Caenorhabditis elegans: one gene and its partners. The protein of the gene in region 1 interacts with the protein of each later gene in a pairwise test. Each region holds a gene or a part of one and is shown in the gene's direction. Other genes may lie near its edges.

Region 1 (3,987 bases):
TAGATTGACCATCCAGAACTCTTAAAATCAACGCTTCAACTCGCTGTAAAAGAATTTTCAAAAAGACACTTTAAAATCTTTGCAACTAACGTCTGGTACTTTCACCTTTGAAAAACAGTCTTCATATGAGTTTTCAATCATTATAAATATTAAGAAAAAGCAGCAATGAAAAGTTTCTGGCAGTTTAAGTGAGGCATGAAAAGTTGTTGAGATTTTGAGCATGCTGTTCAAGCACGGCATGATTTATAACGGAAGTTCAGTCGGGTGGAATGAAATTCTCAAGTTGAAATTTCTAACAAAAACGAGTTTGATCCAAATACGCAAAATTTTGTTGAATTTTGGAGTTTATTTAAGGTGATTGAAGAAGAAGACGCAGAGCCATACTGAAGACGTGGAGAAATCTGCAAACACTGCTCTTGACGACTCTTTGCATCTCAATGAACCTAATTCAAAAATTCAAAAAATCTCGGACAACTTTGACTGCACATTAAGGTGAATAACGTTTCGGACTAGAATTTTTAGTTGAAACATATTTCAGAAAAAGATCAAGCCTCGTGGAGAGCACCTATCGTTAACTGACGAAAGTTTTACCGTGAAGATGGAGGTGACACGTTATCTCTCCACTGCAGTAGAAACTATCAGTCCGAGAGATTTTTGGGTAAATTCTGTGACCAAATCATCATATCCACGCCTCTCCAAATTTGCTCGACGCTTTATCATCTGTCCAACTGGCTCAAGTGAAGCTGAGAAACTGTGTTCAACAGCCGACACGAGTCTTACTAAATACCGAAAAGCTTTGTCACCTGAGAATTTAAAATGCTCCTATTTTTGAGCAAAAATATTCGTCTAATGAATACTATTGATGAGCCAGAAGGCTACTTGGTTGACTGAAATTATTGATTTATTTTCTTTAATTTCTAACATGTTGTTTTGTTTAAACAGTTTTTTCTGATGTTTTTGTTGTCGGTTTTCAATAAACTGTTCATTTTTCAATAAAAATTAGTTGAAACAGAAAAATAACACAAATTTGAAGAAAAATATCCGAAATATCCAAATTGTCCGAAAAATATCCGATTCAAAAAAATTATTTTATTCGAAACAGCGAACTAAAGGATTAAAGGATTAAAAGACGATCCGTTCTTCAAGTGCTATGCTCTGCGGAACTGGGATTCAGGTAAACTGACTGGTGGTGATCTCACTGGGCTATAATTTAAGCCACATCCTAGCCTGGGACTGTGGCCGATAATCCTGTAGTGGATTGCTCCACTCTCCAATAGAGGCTGGTTAAACCTAGGGGGTCTTGAACTTCAACTCGTGATCTCCAGATTGTTAGCGGCGACCACTACCGACTGAGCTATCTGTCGCTAAAAATCTAAAATAACCGATATCCGAAATAGCGAATATCGGGAAATTTAGATAAGAAAGTTTAGAGAAGCCCTACCTTAATTATACCTAACTGTAAGAAAACACTCTGGGAGCTTTTTGAATTACTTACACATTTTATTAAAAATTAATCTGAAACTTTTTTCAATCCAAAGATCAGCTTAACGTCTTTGATATTTGAATTTCCTCCACTAATCCACATCGATTGATGACGTACGAGACCGCGAGAGATGCAGATAGCACGCGACAGCCCTGATAAACTAAGAGAAATAGTATAAGAAACGGGTGCGATCAGAGAACATACAAAAAATATCGAGCAAACGCCGGAGGTGGAAAAGATTGGGGGCAGCCAAACTACACCAAGCGCTAGTCGTCTCCCTTTCCTCTTCTGTCATTTCACAATCAACACATCACTGGACACATACAGCCACTTTCTCGCAGAAACATCTCATCTGAAAATTATGAACTTCAACATGAACTATAGCACCGAACCGTCTCAATACCAATCTTACGTCATCGCGAACGCTCCTTCCGCCACAGCGCCAATTTGTACAGTAAGTTCATTTAACTTTTAATTGATTAATAATTAGTTTAAACAATGATCCTTTCCAGGAAATCACGTGCTGTGTTTGTTGAGCCTACGGGTCATGCATACGGACAAAATGATTACCAACAAATGGCTTATGTAAATGAACAAAATCCACAGTTCTTGCTTTATAATGGGATGCACAATCAAACCCATTCCACCCCACAATATCATAACCATCATCATCATCACCATCAATCTCCGACATATCCTCAATCATATTTCAACCCCTACTCCCATCAATCTTATCAACAGCATCATTTGAACTCCGATGTCAACTTCCAAATGGTTCCACAAAGCACTTCGGTTCCACCAGATCCGTTTTGCTCAATTGAGCCAATGGAGACTAATGTACAAGCAAAAGTGAGTTGATAGTTCAGAAATTGCGCTCAGGAAATTTCACAAAAACAATTGCACGAAAATTCTGACATGGAAACTGTCTGTCTACTTGATAACGGAGAACCAATCGGGTTGAGAGATCAAAAATGATCTGCGGGAAGACTATGTTAAGGAAATATAGTTAGGTTGAGAAGCAACGGTGGTTTCACGTGAAATTCATGTGATTCAAAGCTATAAGGAAGAGGAAATGTTGTGTATGCTTTTGGTGTCAACGAATGCAAATATTTTAGTAAATGAAACCGATACGTTGCTTCTGGTAAAGTAACATTGAATAATGAACATTTGACTTTGAAAGGGGTAAAATTCAAATAAAACAACCTCCTAGCTTTTTAACTTTAGGGGTTACAATTATCTGCTTTTGCAGAAGTTTTTGAGTTGCAATCCTCTGGAAGTCTTTTGAAATTTGACTGAAACTTTAAAAAAACAATTCGGTATATCCGGAATTTTACATCTAAACATATGAAAAACTCACAAAAATGTTATTTCAGGAACAAATTCTCGAAGAAATCGTGCGCGAGTGCGAAGAAATCGAGCGTCGTTCCAACTCGAGCGCGTCTCCAGCCTCAAATTGGTCTTCAGATGAACATGACTCTCAATCCGAAAAATCTTACCACCCATACAAAACCCCAGAAAAGAAGGAACGAAAGAAGGCTCAAAACCGTCTCGCAGCTACCAGATACCGTGAAAAGAAGCGTCGTGAAAAGGAAGAGGCTATGACTTGCATTGAAGGTCTTAGTGTCACCAATGGCAAGCTGAAGGATCAGGTTTGTAAATTATGAAGAATTTTGAGGATTAGCTTTTTTTCCAGGTATCCGAGTTGGAGCGTGAAATTCGTTACTTCAAAAAGTTCATGACCGAGATGGGAATGAAAACTGTCACCGACTAAACCTCAATTTTTAATGTTTTTTACTCCGTTTGAAAGTTCAACTCATTTTATTATTATTAATATTTTCTAAACTTCATCCTTCCCTTATATTGTACGAATTGTGGATTTTTTAAAATTTCATACGCCAATGGTATTATTCTGTTCGTTTGCATGATATTAACCTTACTCTTCAAATAAAAAAGTATCTGAAACCGATAGATCTATAACTTATCACCAACACTTATAGTTGGTTGTAGTCAAATTGTAGCTTCTTGTTTTGTCATCATTTTTCATTTATTTTGTCATCATGACTACTAGTGAACTTGAAGCGCACGTCATTATTCCAACACTGGCGACAAACTCATATTTTAGCTAAAAACAATTAGGAGTGAGTGGAAAAACAAAAGTATATCGGGGGGAATCGGACAAGTCAATTTGAAATTTGGTTAGTGAAACTTTTCGAGTGGATCAGACTCTTTTAGATAGGAAAGTGTTTAGAAAATTCAAAAATATTTATTTCATCCGAAAATGTACGCTTTTAAAAAATATTGGTTTCATCCAAAAATATACGTTTTTCAAAATTATTTATGCTCCGAAAATGTACCGCAACTAAATTGAAAAAAAAAAATTTTCCGCAGCGAAATTTTCCGCGACGATATTTTGCCACGACAAACTTTTTCCGCCTCAAAGTTTTCAGCATCGAAATTTTTCCGGAGCATCGAAATGGCGCGGAAACGGTAAGTCAAACTTCAAT
Region 2 (5,668 bases), on another chromosome or scaffold:
AGTTCTAAAAAATATAGAGGAGGCTCTAAAATGCCTGGAAAAGTTTTTTTGTTCTAGAATCTTAAAAAATCTAGAATATTCTAGAATATTGGCTGACTTTTGTATCATAGTTCTAGAATCTTTAAAAAACACAACGTTTATTTTTGAAAAAAAAAATATTTCTTAGATTTTTTAAAAAATTTTCTACTGTTTCAAAATTTGATGAAAGGAAATTGCACATTAACGATTTTCAATTCGTCTATCTTAGATTCTTTTCAATTTAATTTCAATCAGTTTCAATTTCAAATTTAAATGCATTGAAAATATAATTTTAATTAAGTTAAGAAAAACAAATTCAATCCTGTAAGAGGATATTGGAGGAATTTATGCAAGCCTCACAATTTCAAATAAATACAGAATGTCATTTTACCAGAAACAAAAAGGGTTCATGAAATTTGAAAAATATTAGAAATTTATTACATTTTCTTTTAAAGTTCTTCAACAAAATTATTTGCTCTTTGTGCTGTCTACTAGAACATACAATACCACGTGTTTAGTGTTTGTCAAAAAAATTCGGGAGAAGACTACAAACTAAATGAACTTTTAAAACGTTCTGCTTATTATTGATTCCTTTTTTCCATATTCTCCCAACTTTTAGGGACTAAACTCGGATAAATAGTTTCGTTGTTTCTGTTTTTTTAAACTCCGAAACTTTGCTATAATCAGTGTTTCTGGAAGCTTCTTATCTAGTTGAATTGATGAATGATCTTTGTTTTTTATCTTTCAAACAGTTTGAGAAATAATGACACGTGATTGGACAATGATATAGATCGTCTATTTTCCATCTCCCCATCAGAAAGATTTCATACATTTACTCTCATTTCAAAAATAGATTTGAGTGTATTTTTGGCGATAAACTTTTATTTTCGACAAAACGAAAACTTCCGTGTTTTCAGACAACATTTGTGAAAATAGTTAATTAAGTTGTTCGTTTTTTGACTGTAATTAGCATGTCTACTTAAGTTCCCAAAAGATTTCCACAGAATTTTAGACTGAAAATGCATATCAAATTCTCTAATTTTTTTTGCTGTTTCAGTATAGGTTTATAAGTGGGGATGAAGTTGCGAGCTTAGTTAATGGTTTATTTTAGTGATAGTTTATTTATATAATATTTTGATTAAATTCATCAGCGATCAGGCAACTCTCCAAAATAAAATTATATTTGACCTTCCATGCGTACCTTCATGAAAATGCCCGAGATGTATTTATTCTCACGGCAAAGTAAATGGACGTACATAGGGACGTATTTATTCATTTTAATACCTGATTTGAAGTCTTTCTATTCGGTTTCGGGATACTCTAGTTCAATGTCAATCTATGATCTTCAACCTTTTTTCAATCGTGTTCAGTTTTCCCCACGTCATGGTATCAACCTGTTCCTCACCTCCTCCAATACCATTGATACTAGTTTTTTTCTCTCTTTAATTTCCATATCTATTTTGATCTGTTTCTTTATTTCTCTCCCACCTCTTTCACTACTGTTGTCTCTAATCATGACGTAACTGATTTCTATTTTCTCTTTTGATTTATCAGATGACAAGGTATTACATTAACACAAGAGAGTTCCAGACAGTAAGAGAAAAATGATTTTTAAAAGTGTACGACCCGCCCAGTTTTGGTGTTAAGGAGCTCAGAGAATGAGCAAAATATCAGTGATTCAGAACAGAAGTAAGATTTAGAGAGCCGTCTGATCTGTCGAATACGAGACTAGACTCTGCCCTTTGCAAGTACCGCCCACCTAAATCCTTTCACTATATCATTTCCTTGTTATTCATTCATTCTATCCAATTGTTCTATAAACGATGACATGCTGCATTTACAGACGACCTATGACATTCAGTGATCCAATGGATCCATCAATACCCATATTTCAACATCATGAGGAAGAAGGTTTGTTTTTAAACATTTACTTAAACATTTCTTTAAACATTTCAAATTTTAACATTTCAATTGTGAAAAGGTTTTAAAATGTGTTTTCATTTAGCAGCTTTATTGGAATAATTTTTAAAAGTAAAATATTAACTATAAGATTTTAGTTTTAATATTTAAATTATTACAAGATAGCTTTAATCTTTTTGCGTCAAGAGCTCACAAAGTACGTGAGAATATTAGATACAAAGTACGTGCCAAGGAAACTTTTCATGAAATTTTTCATGTGAAAATTATTATTTAAAACGTAATTTGGAAAATGGACCCGGAAGTTATCATAAGCTAAATATCAATTTTAAGAATGTGGGAATTTATTCAAGTTTCGAGATCAATTTTTGATTTTAAGAGAAGTAATACGATTTAATAACCTTGAAATTTCATTAAAAATTAAAATTTTCTGCTGTTTCACCACATGCATGTGCATAAGTTTTCAATGGTTTATGATACTTTGATAAATCGAAGTAAATCATATCGCTTCTTGTTTATACTTTAAACGAAAATTCTAGTTGTAAAGTCAATAGACAAAAATGAAAATTTATTTAAAAAAAAATTGTCAGTGAAAATATAAACATCTCTAACTTATATTAGATTTTTTAGATTAGTAAAATAGAAAAAGCATTATTCCGCAAAATTGTAAGCAGGCAATTTAAATAAAAATTTTTAAAAATTCCAGAAGCCGGTCCCAGCACAACAATAAAAGCGGAGGAGGAAGATGGTCCATGTTGCTTAGTTTGTGGCCGAGTTGCAAATACTGGACATCATTACGGAGTGACTGCTTGTCTTGGATGTAAGACATTCTTCAGAAGAGTCGTACTTCAGAAGAACTCACCCAAATGCAAATACAAGAATCACTGTCGATTGGAGAAAAGTATGTACAACACGTCAAGAAAGAAAAAATCAAATTGTAATATTTTTATAGGCGTAAACGCGAAGAGGTTATGCAGAAGCTGCAGATATCAAAAATGTCTGGAAGTTGGAATGACCGAAGATGGTAAGCTTGTTTAATTTATTAGTTCTTAATTTTTTGAATGTTGGAAGTTACTGTAGAAGGTATAAATGCGCTTTTCCATGTCTTCTTGGTTGCCCTAATTTCCCATCATTTTTAGTAAGTAAAGTAATCTGCAAAACACCAAATGCTATATACATTCTTAATAACATTTTTTGACTGAAAAAAAATTCGGCGTAACCACAGAAACCATAATTTTCTGTCTGAAATTATTCTGAATCAAATTTAATTTGAGCCTAATTTACACTGTGAAACAGAAATAATATTATACAATTTCCAGCCCTACATCCCTGCCGAGATGTGATTGGTCGTCGAGTTCGTAACAATTCAAGTGATTCTTCACCCATTTCAAGTCCTCCATCAATACCAACACCATTATCGGTAAGTCTCTTCCAGTCTTTTCCACCACTTCTCCCATTCTTCCCGTGTGTGACGACTTTCCGAGTGTGTACGTTGCAGATATGCAAACTGATGAATTTGAGCGAAGGAGACCACAAACTTTTGCAGACAATCACCGATATGGATACTGACATACGAACACGTACTGCTCATATTCTTGGAGAACCGGCGAACGGAAATGAACAGATCCATTTTTACAGTCCGGTTAGTTTTATTTTCCAAAAATTTGTTACTGTTTCTATATTATTTAAAAAGTGTTTATTATGTTGATTTGTAAATTTTCAGACCCCAGACTACACAAACGTAATAGTGAATCACGGTATAGGCCCTTCTCTGAAAGTTGATATATTACTACTCCGAGAATGGGTTGATCGAATTCCCGGATTTCGAGAACTCAGTGAACGCTTTCAGGTAGTTGTTTCTAAACAAATACTATTTAATCCAAAATTTATTTTCAGCAACATTTAATGCATCGATTCTGTTTGAGATATACTGTGATTGAACATGGCCTCTTTACAGCTCAAATGCCATATCATAAAAATGTTTGGTGAGTTTCCGTTAAAAAATCCTCCTAATAATATTTAAATAATTCAGGTTCCTCTCAGACCGAACATGCCTTGTCAGTGAATTCGAGAATCTTCCACAGGAAATAAAGAAGCATCTCACTCCGAAAGTAATAAACGAGCAACAATTATTGGCTTCATTCACAGAAATGCTCATTCACGAAGTAGCTGATCCTCTAAGAAGATTGAAACCTGATTCTGTTGAAGTTGCTACTGTGAAGACGTTAATGTTGTTGAGTAAGTGTAAATTTTGCTGTTTCAAATACAAAGTAAAGTTTTCATGATTTGTGATATCTTTCGATATGTCTATAGTAAATTGAGTTCATATTAGCAATTTTATCTAAAATGCGGATTTCGGAAATATCAATCCTATATTTTGAAATCCCAACAAAAAAAACTAATTTGGTAAATATTGAAAATCCGATTTTCAAAAAAAAAAAAACGAGAAATGCTTGAATTCCCTCCAAAATGAAAACTGCAAAAGCAATCAGCTATTTTCTCCACCTTATTTTCAACCAATCTGACAGAGTGCACAAAGTTTGAAATCGCTGATTGGTCAGGCAGTTCTCTCCATTTAAAGGATATTCGTACATGGCGACAGCTAAAAACCGCGTCTCAACAGTTTTTTTTGATTTTCATCCGTTATATTGCAACATATTGCCTCATGTTTTTTGAAATAAAATCCCACATTTTTGTAAGAAACTTTCAAAATTCTTTGTCAAATCTAGCTTAAGTTTGCGTGCCCAGTAAAATTATTAGGACTTCATGAACAGACTGTTTTTTTCCAGAACCAACTTGCCTTCGAGAAATTGATGGTGACTACCTTTCTACTGAAACTGATATCAAATCTGTGAACGATGTACGAAACCGTGTAATAAATGGACTCTACAGCCATTATATAAAAAACGGAATGGATCCAGAACAACTTCCAATCAGAGTTAGTGAGGTGAGTTTCGGAAAAGATTGGTTGTGGTAAATGAAAATATTTGTTTTATAGATTTTAAACCTAACTGGTGGAGTGGAGCAGTGTGCAGCTCGAGCCCTTGAGGAAATGCACCCTACTCGTGTATTCAACTTATCATCTTTTGATCCATACAGTTCTAATGTTATTTTTGGTTACTATAGAGATGTTTGAAACATTTTCTTTCTGACATATTATTACGCTATTCAATTGTGATGATTGTGATTATAGATTTACAAAAATAAACCTATTAATTTCGAGAAACGATTGTACAACCTCATAGTAATCAAATTCATTTTTGGAGCTTCCGTTTCCTGTAAGGGGGGCGAGAGGTGACGTCCCCCGATAACAACTATAAGTTCAATCATTTATTACTAGAAAATACAATAATTGATTAGAACTATAAATTGTATCTTCAGTTTTACATGGCAATCGATGATCCAGCAGATGTACCAGTGCTTGTATCATCACTCTTCTTACTCTTCTTTCCTTTCTTATCCTTCTTGTCCTTCTTTCCCTTCTTTCCCTTCTTTCCCTTCTTAACTTTCACTTTGCGAACCTTCGGAATATGCTTTGCACGAGCTTTGACAAGATATCTAACCAGACAAACATGAAGAATCAAGCAGAAAATTCCAAAGATCACTCCAAAAATAGCTCCAGCCAACATTGGCTGTGGAATCGATTTTCCATTAATGGTTGATCCTTGATCTTCAGGCGCATGTGGCGCGGTTGGGGCGGTAGTTGAATTCGACATCTGAAACTTTTTATGAG
Region 3 (5,446 bases), on another chromosome or scaffold:
AGATATGTCGGACATAAGTTTAATAAATATTACACCTGCTACGAGAAAGGTATCAATTTGATTTCAGAGCAAAGTTCTCACGTTTCCTTTTTTTGCGATCAAAAACCATTGTCACCTCTTTTTATGCACACATTTATTTAGAATCTCATTCTATTTGACACCCACTCATTGAATATGTTTCGAACTTTTTTTGATCTCCGTTTCAAATTTATTTGAATCTAATGGAACTATCTGTTTTACGCGTCACTTTTAATCTCTGTTCATTGTTTTTGTCACAAATTCACAGTAATGGTTAGCAAAAAAAGATCGACAGTTCGAAAATAATTTGGGTCCAAACATAGACGAACTACAAAGTTTTGTTAATTGTTTTGTTGATTCAGCTGCTAAAAACTTTACTAGCTGGATTGAATCGATATTGCGGGTTTATTTCCTAACATTTTTACTATAAGTTAGCCAATTTTTCCAGTTAAAAATATAATGAAAACATAGGAAGTAAATAAAATATAGAAAGTAGATAAAAACGTAATCATAGCTTTTAAAACAATATTAACTGTTGGTGAAACATTAATGTGATTTTTGCACCAATATACCTTACTTCCGTTTAAAGCGTCATAGTTTTAGTAATAAGTTTGAATAATTTCATAGTATTCTGTGAACTTTCAATCCTGACTACGTCAAGATTTTGAAGGGTCACTTCAACGATTTGAAACATCATTACCAACAATGTCTTGTCCCCGAAAATGTGTGACGTCGCAACCGAAAAAGACTGTCAGATATCAAATCAAACTACAGATTCAAACGTGACAGAGATTTTCGACTTTTGTGACGTACAGTCCACCCAATATCTGGGGCCACCATGGTTGGCGCCAGAGCCGGCTGGCGTCGTCTCGGTTGTTTCCCTTTGTCTCTAACTCTCACCTATATCCGTACTATCTCTCATATTTTGATATGAGGATTTCATTGCGTTAAACTTCGTTGCAACATTTTGCTTCGTTGAGATAAAAACCGGAAGGTTTTGTGTTTTGTTGCTTTTCTATTGTTTCTTGCGTGGCACCGTGGGCGCCGGTACGGTTTCTAGGTGTGGTTTAGGGGTACGGTATGCACAAAGAAGCAGGCATGTGTTGGTATATAACGAAGCGAAGTAGGCATTTTAAATTCATTTTTTGAAAGCTTTTCTATTTGCTATTCAGTGAGTTCCTAAATCAGTGAGTGATCAATTCCGTGTAAGATATTAAGTAAGCAGCAAGCGTTGTTAGTGTTTTTAGTTTCAAAAATATATACGCTTTATCAAGTTCCAGTAAACGATAAATTCATTTTCAAGAATAAAACAGAAAGCTGACCCTAAACTGTCTTAAACTTCTAATGATACTCTGTTTCAGCGATCTCTTTTTTGAGTTCTGATTTATATGATTTCATATTTGTTATTCAGCTCCAAAATTCTATCTTCTTATGTGAATTTGAAGACTAGGAATTTTGTAGTATCATATCCAATGTCTGTCGTTTTATCAATTTTCGTCCATTTTTTTCTTAAATATTCTGGTTTTTTTTTATTGGTTTCACTGTTTCTAAACGTCTGAACTTTTCAGATACATTTACCGTCGATCAACTCTAACCTATGCAGACTATTTTGGTAATTATTGACTTCTCATTTTAAAAAAGGTGTGTGAAATTAAAATAAAAACAAAATTGAATTTTCTAATAATTTAACAAATATTTTCAGGATATAATCAAATTCATTGACTGTGATTACGTGCTTCTCGGGTCCACAAACACATATATTCTCAATGTCTCCTCATCCTCGAGTACTAAACGACAATAGTGAGATTTGTTGATATTCTAAAAATAATAATAAGACGCTCTCACCCTTCTAATGAGTGCTTCTGACTAAAGGTATCCCCCGTCACAATATATAGAATTTCTTAAAGTTCATACCGAAAAAAGTTCTGATCTATGTAGTTTACTCTAACTTTGATACATCCACTTATCAGAAAAAGAGGCATGAGACAACGAAAGCGTATTCTACGAATAAGCTCCTTCTTGTCAACCCCCTCATTTCCTTTTCGTTTCTACTTACTTACGTCTACCTGCTCTCTCACTCTCTCTCTCACATTTGAGTCATTTACTTTCGTGTTGAGAGTAGCTGACTAGTACTTTAAATCAGTCATAAGCTTATCACCAAAAATTTATATTTCAACAAAAAAAAATTATGATTCGAAATTCCAATACTGCTCCGTCAGATCGACGATGTCTCGTTTGTGGTGATGACAAAGCTAGTCGACATTATGGAACAGTGGCATGTAATGGATGTAAAGGTTTCTTCAGAAGAAGGTGAGCGCTTTATATTAATTGCTGGAAAGTCCCAGCTTCAAAAGAATAAAGCATCCAAAAATTATCGTACCGCAAGCCAATGAGTTCATTGTTTGGTATTTTAACAATTTTCAATTTTCAGCGTCTGGGAAAAGCGAACATATTTCTGTATTGCCAATGAAGACTGCGAAGTTTTGCAACAATTCAGGAATCGATGCAGAGCTTGTCGTTTTAACAAATGCGTTATGGTCGGCATGGACGCCAGAGGTAAATGTTTTTTCTTGATTTCTATTTTTATTAATAAAAGGTTAAATTTCAAAAGGTGTTAGTTAAGATTTAGGTTTTTGGTAGGCGTACACGGTTACAAAAGTGCGCTGCTATGTATATACGTAATTGCGGAAATATTACTAATCTTCTGAGAACATTTATGGTTTATCTAAAATAATAAATTAAAGTAGTAATTTTAGCTGTCCAATCTGAAAGAGAAATCCGTCCAAACGAAACTGCAAAAAAACCAAAAGGATCATTAAAAGGAAAACGTTCAAGTCTACAAACATCGAATTCTGTTACGAGCTCCCAACCAAGTTCTAGTTCAACACCCGACGTTGATCACCCGCCAATTGTTAAACATCTATTCAATATTGTAAGTTATTTAAAAAGAATTTACCAAAATTATTCCTCTTTGAATTCAAAAAGGTCGACTGTCCAATGGGTTCATTATTGGTAAATTAGACACAGAAATATTTTAGTAATCAAATAAAATAGATAATCGTAAAGTAAATATTTGAGAAAAAAATGTTTGTTGAATCGAAATGGGCTTATTCTAAAAAATGTTTCCCTAAACAAATTTGAATGGGAGCGAGGTGTCATGGGAAATTCGTCCTGTGTGTGGGCATGGGCATTGGGAATGAAAAATAAAATATGTAGTTTGCAATAAAAATAGCTCCTTTAAGTAGTCTATCTTTTCCTATTTTATGTGCACACAACTCAAAAATTTAAATAATGATCAATGTGAATTGGCAAACGCTATACACGAAATATCATTTCTAATGTCTGATTTTTCAGCAAAGACGAGTAGAGACCACATTTTGCCCCGAATTTGATGACTTGGTGGCCCGATTTGGATCAATGTGTAATGTCCGAATCTCATTGCAATCTGCACTTGAAAACCCGGAAAAAGTGGCAACGAGGACAAAGGTTAGTAAATAAATCGTATGGCACTGGAATATCAAAATTTAGAATTTTACAAATTATTAGATTTGTATATAAATTTGTTTAGAAATTTAAAACAACGATTTTCAGCTTGAATGGGGAAATACGAGTCGTTTGGCAGACATTCACGATTTGAAAGTGACTTGGTGTCGAACATTTGTTTGGTTTCACGATTACTTGAGCTCATTTGAAGAGTTGGAGGTTTGTATCACGCTTATTGAATTTTTAAACAATTTTATGTGTTCTGTTACAGAGACTGAATTACTTGGACAGGGAGCAACTATTCAAGCTTCGATTTGCCCCAGTATCTTGGAATCTGTATGCATGGCATTCATATCAGAATAATATCGATGGAGTTACATTTACAAATGATGCTTGGTATCCACTTGATAAAGAAAAGCAAGCATTCATGGATAAACCGTTAGTTTTTTTCCAAGTTCATGTTCAACTAGATTGTCTGAGAATCAATTTCGAAAATAATCGACAAACAATAATTTTGTTAAAACTTTTCAGGTGCAACGATTATTACTCAAAAATTGCGGATACTATGATCCATGGCCTAGTTTATAGAATGAAAGGGATCAATATGACAGAAGAAGAATTTTCATGTATGCTCGCTATTACACTATTTAGACCAGGTTAGCTAACTTTCACAATTTTAAAATTTACATTGAACTATTTCTAGATTATCGTCTCTCTAGTGACGCCAATAAACTTCTCCAGTTAACTGGAGATGTTTTCACAAAAGCTCTGTCCGAGTATGTTTTGAGCAGAGAAACATCAGAATTGAAGGCAATGGAACGGATGGCAACTCTCATGATTATGCTTACTTCTGTACAGGTAACAGTAATATTATTGTTTTGCCGATTGAAATACAACTGAATAAAAAATCCGCATCCAGGTTTTGCCCAAGTTTGATTCAAAACTTACCAAACTTTTCTATGTCATTTTAACTTGGATTGGCAAGAGTATTAATGAGTTAAAAACCAATTATATATGTTTAGGGTGAAGTTAGGAAACGCCAAGTCAATATAAAAGTATTGTAATAAAAAACAGTTTTTTTTTACCAAACATACATTCGTTTCCAGAGCCTCGCTCGTCAAGAGGATGACAACGTCACATTTCTCGCCATTTTCGATATGGCTGACTTGGTTGGTCTGCCATATGAAGTACATTCAGCTCTGCGGCAAGACGATTTTTCTTAGAAAATAGTTTGTTTTTGATATGAAAACTATTAGGAATCTCACTTTGCGATCTCATTTCTTTTCTCTCTGTGATATATTCCCTACCTCTGTAACTATCTCCCTCCCATGTGAAATTCGGTGTCTAATTCCCCTCAAACAGTGTAAATTTCCAAGAACATCAATGTTAATAATAGATTTCTTTACATTTGAAATTATTATGTTTTTTTTAAATTTTAACCTGGCAATACTTCCAGTACGAATTTCTATTTATTGCAAATTTCACAACTTTCAAATAAGTGCTTATTCAGTTCAGAAATATGAATATCCCTTTTAATTCGGTCTCAAAAATACAATGGAGGAATCCATCACCAGTTAGTGACACGTCATGTCTTGTCTGTGGAGATCCACATGGAAAACGACATTATGGCGCAATGTCGTGTAATGGATGCAAAGGATTTTTTAGAAGAAGGTTAGTTTTATTTTCTTTTTGTTTTTTTTTCTAAATCAATAATTTTCCAGCATTTGGGAGAAACGAACCTATAAATGCAGTTTCAATAATGAGTGTATTATTGAGTTCAAATACCGTAATCGGTGCAGAGCATGCCGTTTGAAAAGATGTCTACATGTTGGAATGGATGCTAATGGTATCATATGGTACAAAATAGAATCCCGTTTGATAGTTTATATTTCAGCTGTTCGAAGTGAGAGGACAAGAAAAATCAAAACAGAAATTGATGGAGATG
Region 4 (5,241 bases), on another chromosome or scaffold:
AGTAGGCACCAAACGATAAGGCGCATGTGGAATCAAATCGGTTTCAGGCAAAAAGCTTTAAGAAAACCTCCAGAGAGTTGTTTTTCAGAAAATTGAGCAAGATGACATGAAAGAGTCAGTAGCAGTTCTTCTTCAAATCCTTGTCTACAATCCGAACAAGCGTCTCTCTGGAATTGAGATTCTCACTCATCCGTACTTTAATGTGGTAAGTTTATCTGAACCTTATGATTGTCACCTAACATAATGATTTTAGTTATTCAACGAGAAAACGGTGAGATTCAATAAAAAGAAGATTTTGTGTCTTTCTGCAGTCGACTTACAATCCGTGAAATCTGGAGATACAACTTTGACGAATGAATCGGTTGAGCAGACGAGTTGAATTCGAGAAAAGAGCACTGATATTTAGATTATCAATTTTGTAATATATGAACAGTTCTGAATGGGGTCTCCAAATTGAAATATATGTCACTATATCTGTCTTTTTAGAAGCATAACTAATTTGAATATGGAGTTTCGTCCTATGGCTCCTCTGGCGAAGAGCGCCTTGGACTGCTTGGCATTGTACACCAACTTTTTGCCAGAATTTGGCAGCGACAATATTTTTTTCAACAGTTTAAAACAATACAAGAAAGGTTTGGGTCAAAGTTTGACATGAATAAAATCAAACTTATGCCAAACTCTAGTGCATTCTAAATCTACAAAAGGCCGAGTGGAAAAGTCGATCTGAAACAAACATTCTGAAAGCTTGAATTATGTGTGTTTTTTTAGAAAGAAAACTTTAACTTGATAAAAAACTACACTTTTGGAACAATTTCACAAAACTCGAAAGTTGGAAACATCCAAGGAACAGTTTTCAGGTCGATATTTTTTAGTTCAAAGTGCGAGGCATGTAGCAGAATGTTTTATAGGGGCCTATGCAAAAGGTTTTCTTTCAAATAAAAAATGATTTTAATTGAGAGTGTGAAAGTTAAAAAAATTTGATCAATCAATTGTGGTCATTCAACTTTCAAATACTGGTCACACTATAAATGCGTGCATTATTTCACTTATTTTCTTGCATTATCACTATCACATTTTTATATGCCCTATCATCCATCCATCATCTTCTAATTTTTTTCCGTTTCCTCCTTCATCATCCTTAAAAAGTCTCTCCCCTCTAATTCCATCTGTTGCTTCTTCTCTCAAATATCCAGTGACCATATGTAGGGGGGTCACTCTCAATTTCTTTTCATTTCTTTCTCTCTTCATAGTAATAATACGGTCCTCAACGGTGTTTGGTGACGAGGTACTGGACAAATAGAAAAAGCGCGCACGCCCCTCTCTCTCACACCATTCCTTTCCCATCCCCCATCATCCTAAAGAAATATTGATTGGTGAGAGTATATGAAAAATGGAGACTCAGACATACGTATCGCGTGTTTAAAGACATTGTGTCTACAATGGAGAGTATTCTCTGACGCATCTTACTCTAGATTTTCCATACTTTCTCTCTCATCGGGCAAGGAAGCGACGATTTACATAATTAATTGATTTACTCTCGATCCATTGCACAACTTGTTTTAAAATTCAATTTTTTAAATTCTTCACCTAATATATTCAATTGCCTATAATTTGTTTTGGTGTCTTTCAATTCTTCTTTTCGACAGAAAAAAACTTTTCTTTATAGTTTTCAGAATGGCTCAGGATATATTTATGGATCCATGGCAATCGGCGACGAGGTAAGGCATAGTGTGACATTATTAGCTTAAGTTATGGCTTTTTATTGCAAAAAATGTGTTGATTAAAATTGGTTTTCTATGCAATACAACTATTCAGATATGCTTATTGCTGGTTATTTTTGGATACTTCTAAACTTATATTTTAAATTTTAAATAATTTCAGCTTCGCAATGGAAGATGAAGATATGGGCATGCCATCTGGAAAATATGCTCGAATGGAAGATGAAATGGGAGAGAATAAGGAAAGATTTGCAAGGGAAAATCATTCAGAGGTGAGGTTTTGAACATTTATATCTGAAAATTTATACTGCTATGTTTCATTAATTCAAATAAAAAGTACGATACTCTGGGTATTGTTTGACCTGTAAAACTGCAATTTTCATGGGACGTAACACAACTCAAAATTAAATTTCCAGCGATTTTAAATTTTTTAAAAATTTCTACATATGGTGCTAAAATTATCGAGTCATAGAGAACTTTTTAAAAAATTATTTCAAACTGTATAATTAAAATTCAAATAGGCACAATTTTAGAGTTTCACATATCATGAATTCGGAAGCCGACCGAAAAATCTTTCTTTCTGCAAGTATTAAACTAAAAACTAAAAGTTTAAAAATTTGGCAATTTACCAACCCTTTGGTTGAAATTTCTGAAATCAAAATTCAATATGGAAAAAGTAAAATTTCTTGCTTCAAATTCAACTGAAAACGTTTTAGATTGAGCGACGTCGCCGTAACAAAATGACTCATTACATAAATGAATTAGCCGAAATGGTTCCACAATGTGCATCACTTGGACGTAAACCCGATAAACTAACGATTCTCCGAATGGCAGTATCACACATGAAAGGAATTCGAGGACATACGGCACAAGATGAAACTTCATATAAACCATCATTTCTTACGGATCAAGAATTGAAACATTTGATTCTAGAAGCAGCGAATGGATTTCTTTTTGTTGTTTGTTGTCAGACTGGAAAAGTGTTATATGTTGCTGATTCAATTACTCCCGTACTTAATTTGAAGCAGGTGAGCAAGATTTGAATCTTTCATTATTGAAATATAAATATTAATTTTTAGGAAGATTGGCTTCAAAGAAATTTGAATGAACTCATACATCCAGATGATCAAGATAAAATTAGAGATCAATTGTGTGGAAGTGAAGTATCAGTTAATAAAGTTCTCGATTTGAAATCTGGTGAGTTATCATAAAAAGAGAAGAGGAGAGATTCAAGGATTTTTTGAATTTTTTCCAAAGTAGTCATATAACTTGGAACCGTTTACAGTAATAACCACTTACTTCAGTCAATCGAATTAAGTAGTATTTGTTTTAAAAGCATCTATTGTAATTTCACTAGATTTTGGCATGCCCAAAATTTGTGATTTTCCGTCAAAAAGGTATCTGCTCGCTCTTAAAATGTGTGTATCTTTAAAAGTACAGTAACCCACTTCAAGTTAACTATCAAAATCATTGAATTTTAGGATCAGTGAAACGCGAAGGAGCATCAACACGAGTTCATATGTCATGTCGTCGTGGATTCATCTGTCGAATGCGTGTCGGAGCCCTTGAACCACTTCATCGTCTCAGAAATCGCCGTCCCTTATTCCAACATGCTGGTCAAAATTACGTTGTGATGCATTGCACAGGATATATCAAAAATGCTCCACCACAGGGAATTAATGCTCCAGCTTCATCTTGTTTGGTGGCAATTGCCAGGTTACAGGTTAGAATAGTTTACGATGCAGATAAACGTGATTTAATTAAAGGTAGCATCAATGCCGGTCTGTGCTGATCCAACATCAACAAATCAATTTTCGGTTCGTGTTTCGGAAGATGGAAAAATGACATTTATTGATGCGAGGGTTAGTGATTTAATTGGTTTGAGCAGTGATCAACTTATCGGAAGATATTGGTGGAATCTTGCACATCCAGCAGATGAGAAGACCCTTCAAGACTCATTTGTGGCTCTTTTAAGGTAAGTTTTCGTAAAAAAACCTTTTTGAACAATTTGCGTCCATCAAATTTCATATTACCTGCTTTCAAGAGTGTGTGCGGTTTTAAAGAGTACTGCAATTTCAAACTTTCTACTCTGTAGAATTTTCGTCGATTTTTCATAGTTTTTCTCACTATTTGTAAAAATACATGTTGTCTTATGTGAGTTTTTAAACAAATAAATATACCTTTATCAAAAAAACTATGAAAAACCAAAGAGAATTGAGTAGAAACATTAAAATTACCGTACTTTTTAAAGGCTCAAACCTTTTTCATTAAACAAACATTTGTCTTGTCGAGACCAGGTACCGTAGTTTTTTAATCGTAATTTTCGCGGTTCTAGGGAATATTTTCAGGCGAATTTTTCACGAATAATATTCGTGGCGGGACCATTTCGAAAAATGTACTTTCCTTTAAACCTATAGCAGTAGATTCCATGTTAACTAAATAAAAACATTTCCATTTCAGTGACCAACCAATGAGAATAAATATTCGAGTACGTACCAGTACTGATTACATTCCATGTACTGTGTCTGCATACAAATTCATGAATCCATACTCGGAACAGTTCGAATACGTGGTTGCAACACATCAAATTGCTCCACAAGAAGATATTAATAATTGGGTCACTGCACCAACTGTTCCTCAACCTCAAGCCAGTGAATTTGGAGAGCTCGGCGGTGCTCCAAGTGCTGTGGATTACGGACAATCGAGTAGTGGAGGATGGAGACCTGAAGCTCAAGGAGCACCACAGGCACAATGGCAATGGGACCCGATGAATGGATATAACCAGTGATTATAATTTCTAGAAATTGATATATTTTTTTTTGAAGCCTATTCCAATGATTCTCATTTCTATCTACTTCTTGAAAAGTTTTCTTTTTTTTTCAATTTCCTTAACTTTTCTGTTCAGTATTTTTCCTTTTTTCTGGACCAACGAGTTATTCAACTCATTCTGAACACTAAATTTTATTACTAATAATATTGTCAAAAAATCAAAAGAAAACAACGAATAAATGAAAACAACTATAAAATAACGGATTATTGCTTATTTTGGTGGATTTTGAAGAATATATTCCGTCGCCGACGTTGCCGTTGACTTGTGCTTTGAGAACTGTTTCGCTGGAAGTTGTTCCGTGTTCATTTCTGTTGGAAGCCATGTTATCGGTGTCCATTGACCTTGAATAGAAGGAACCAATGCACTTTGACGACTCTCTAGCTTCACAACTGGTTCGCCGCTTCTTGAGAATAACAAATGCACATCTTTGCTCACTTCGTCTTGTGTCATGTTTTTTGCATTGATCTGTAGAGTCCGACCATTTCCATATTCTGCGCGGATTGATGGGTTCGAGTTTCGCACAGGCTGGGCATAGATCACAACTGATGGGTTTTTACGGCCTGAAAAAAACGGATTTCCTTCTTTATTTAAAAAAAAATGAAGCTTTTAATTTAGATTCTCTATTAATTTTTTGATCGTAGACAGAAATTCTTACCGATTTCAACGAGTTGATTCTCAATAAAATTGCGAACT

The links.
Region 2: the proteins of atf-4 (region 1) and nhr-105 interact in a two-hybrid assay, tested with the Caenorhabditis elegans proteins (one large-scale study listed by BioGRID).
Region 3: the proteins of atf-4 (region 1) and nhr-138 interact in a two-hybrid assay, tested with the Caenorhabditis elegans proteins (one large-scale study listed by BioGRID).
Region 4: the proteins of atf-4 (region 1) and aha-1 interact in a two-hybrid assay, tested with the Caenorhabditis elegans proteins (one large-scale study listed by BioGRID).

The regions. Positions count from the first base shown.
Region 1 is NC_003284.9:14,808,614-14,812,600, reverse strand, and holds atf-4 (Transcription factor atf-4 homolog), read left to right. Parts: upstream 1-1,937; 5' UTR 1,938-1,995; coding exon of another isoform or gene 1,996-2,019; 5' UTR 2,020-2,059; coding exon 2,060-2,332; intron 2,333-2,856; coding exon 2,857-3,132; intron 3,133-3,176; coding exon 3,177-3,254; 3' UTR 3,255-3,445; downstream 3,446-3,987. Other genes in the region: T04C10.3 (Coiled-coil domain-containing protein 96), read right to left, coding at 1-43, 91-240; T04C10.11 (uncharacterized protein), read left to right, coding at 1,797-1,937, 1,996-2,019. UniProt on the Caenorhabditis elegans protein: Transcription factor.
Region 2 is NC_003282.8:7,048,295-7,053,962, forward strand, and holds nhr-105 (Nuclear Hormone Receptor family), read left to right. Parts: upstream 1-1,861; 5' UTR 1,862-1,868; coding exon 1,869-1,929; intron 1,930-2,415; exon of another isoform or gene 2,416-2,436; intron 2,437-2,641; coding exon 2,642-2,836; intron 2,837-2,887; coding exon 2,888-2,959; intron 2,960-3,162; exon of another isoform or gene 3,163-3,183; intron 3,184-3,254; coding exon 3,255-3,355; intron 3,356-3,433; coding exon 3,434-3,577; intron 3,578-3,658; coding exon 3,659-3,784; intron 3,785-3,831; coding exon 3,832-3,920; intron 3,921-3,967; coding exon 3,968-4,173; intron 4,174-4,237; exon of another isoform or gene 4,238-4,258; intron 4,259-4,724; coding exon 4,725-4,882; intron 4,883-4,933; coding exon 4,934-5,071; 3' UTR 5,072-5,156; downstream 5,157-5,668.
Region 3 is NC_003282.8:9,723,665-9,729,110, forward strand, and holds nhr-138 (Nuclear Hormone Receptor family), read left to right. Parts: upstream 1-1,586; 5' UTR 1,587-1,615; coding exon of another isoform or gene 1,616-1,654; 5' UTR 1,655-1,659; intron 1,660-1,720; 5' UTR 1,721-1,784; coding exon 1,785-1,818; intron 1,819-1,867; exon of another isoform or gene 1,868-2,094; intron 2,095-2,237; coding exon 2,238-2,328; intron 2,329-2,449; coding exon 2,450-2,574; intron 2,575-2,774; coding exon 2,775-2,950; intron 2,951-3,372; coding exon 3,373-3,504; intron 3,505-3,609; coding exon 3,610-3,720; intron 3,721-3,772; coding exon 3,773-3,939; intron 3,940-4,032; coding exon 4,033-4,157; intron 4,158-4,204; coding exon 4,205-4,359; intron 4,360-4,607; coding exon 4,608-4,724; 3' UTR 4,725-4,912; downstream 4,913-5,446. Other genes in the region: Nuclear hormone receptor family member nhr-100, read left to right, coding at 5,021-5,172, 5,223-5,347, 5,396-5,446.
Region 4 is NC_003279.8:10,193,424-10,198,664, reverse strand, and holds aha-1 (Aryl hydrocarbon receptor nuclear translocator homolog), read left to right. Parts: upstream 1-1,667; 5' UTR 1,668-1,674; coding exon 1,675-1,718; intron 1,719-1,881; coding exon 1,882-1,990; intron 1,991-2,434; coding exon 2,435-2,746; intron 2,747-2,797; coding exon 2,798-2,915; intron 2,916-3,199; coding exon 3,200-3,441; intron 3,442-3,484; coding exon 3,485-3,693; intron 3,694-4,178; coding exon 4,179-4,506; 3' UTR 4,507-4,740; downstream 4,741-5,241. Other genes in the region: Y106G6E.1 (Protein kinase domain-containing protein), read left to right, coding at 89-205, 254-379; C25A1.15 (Transposase), read right to left, coding at 1,069-1,344; mrpl-34 (Large ribosomal subunit protein mL43), read right to left, coding at 4,759-5,108, 5,204-5,241. UniProt on the Caenorhabditis elegans protein: Transcription factor. Efficient DNA binding requires dimerization with another bHLH protein, such as cky-1 or ahr-1. Regulates transcription of target genes, probably acting in complex with cky-1. Has a role in cellular differentiation.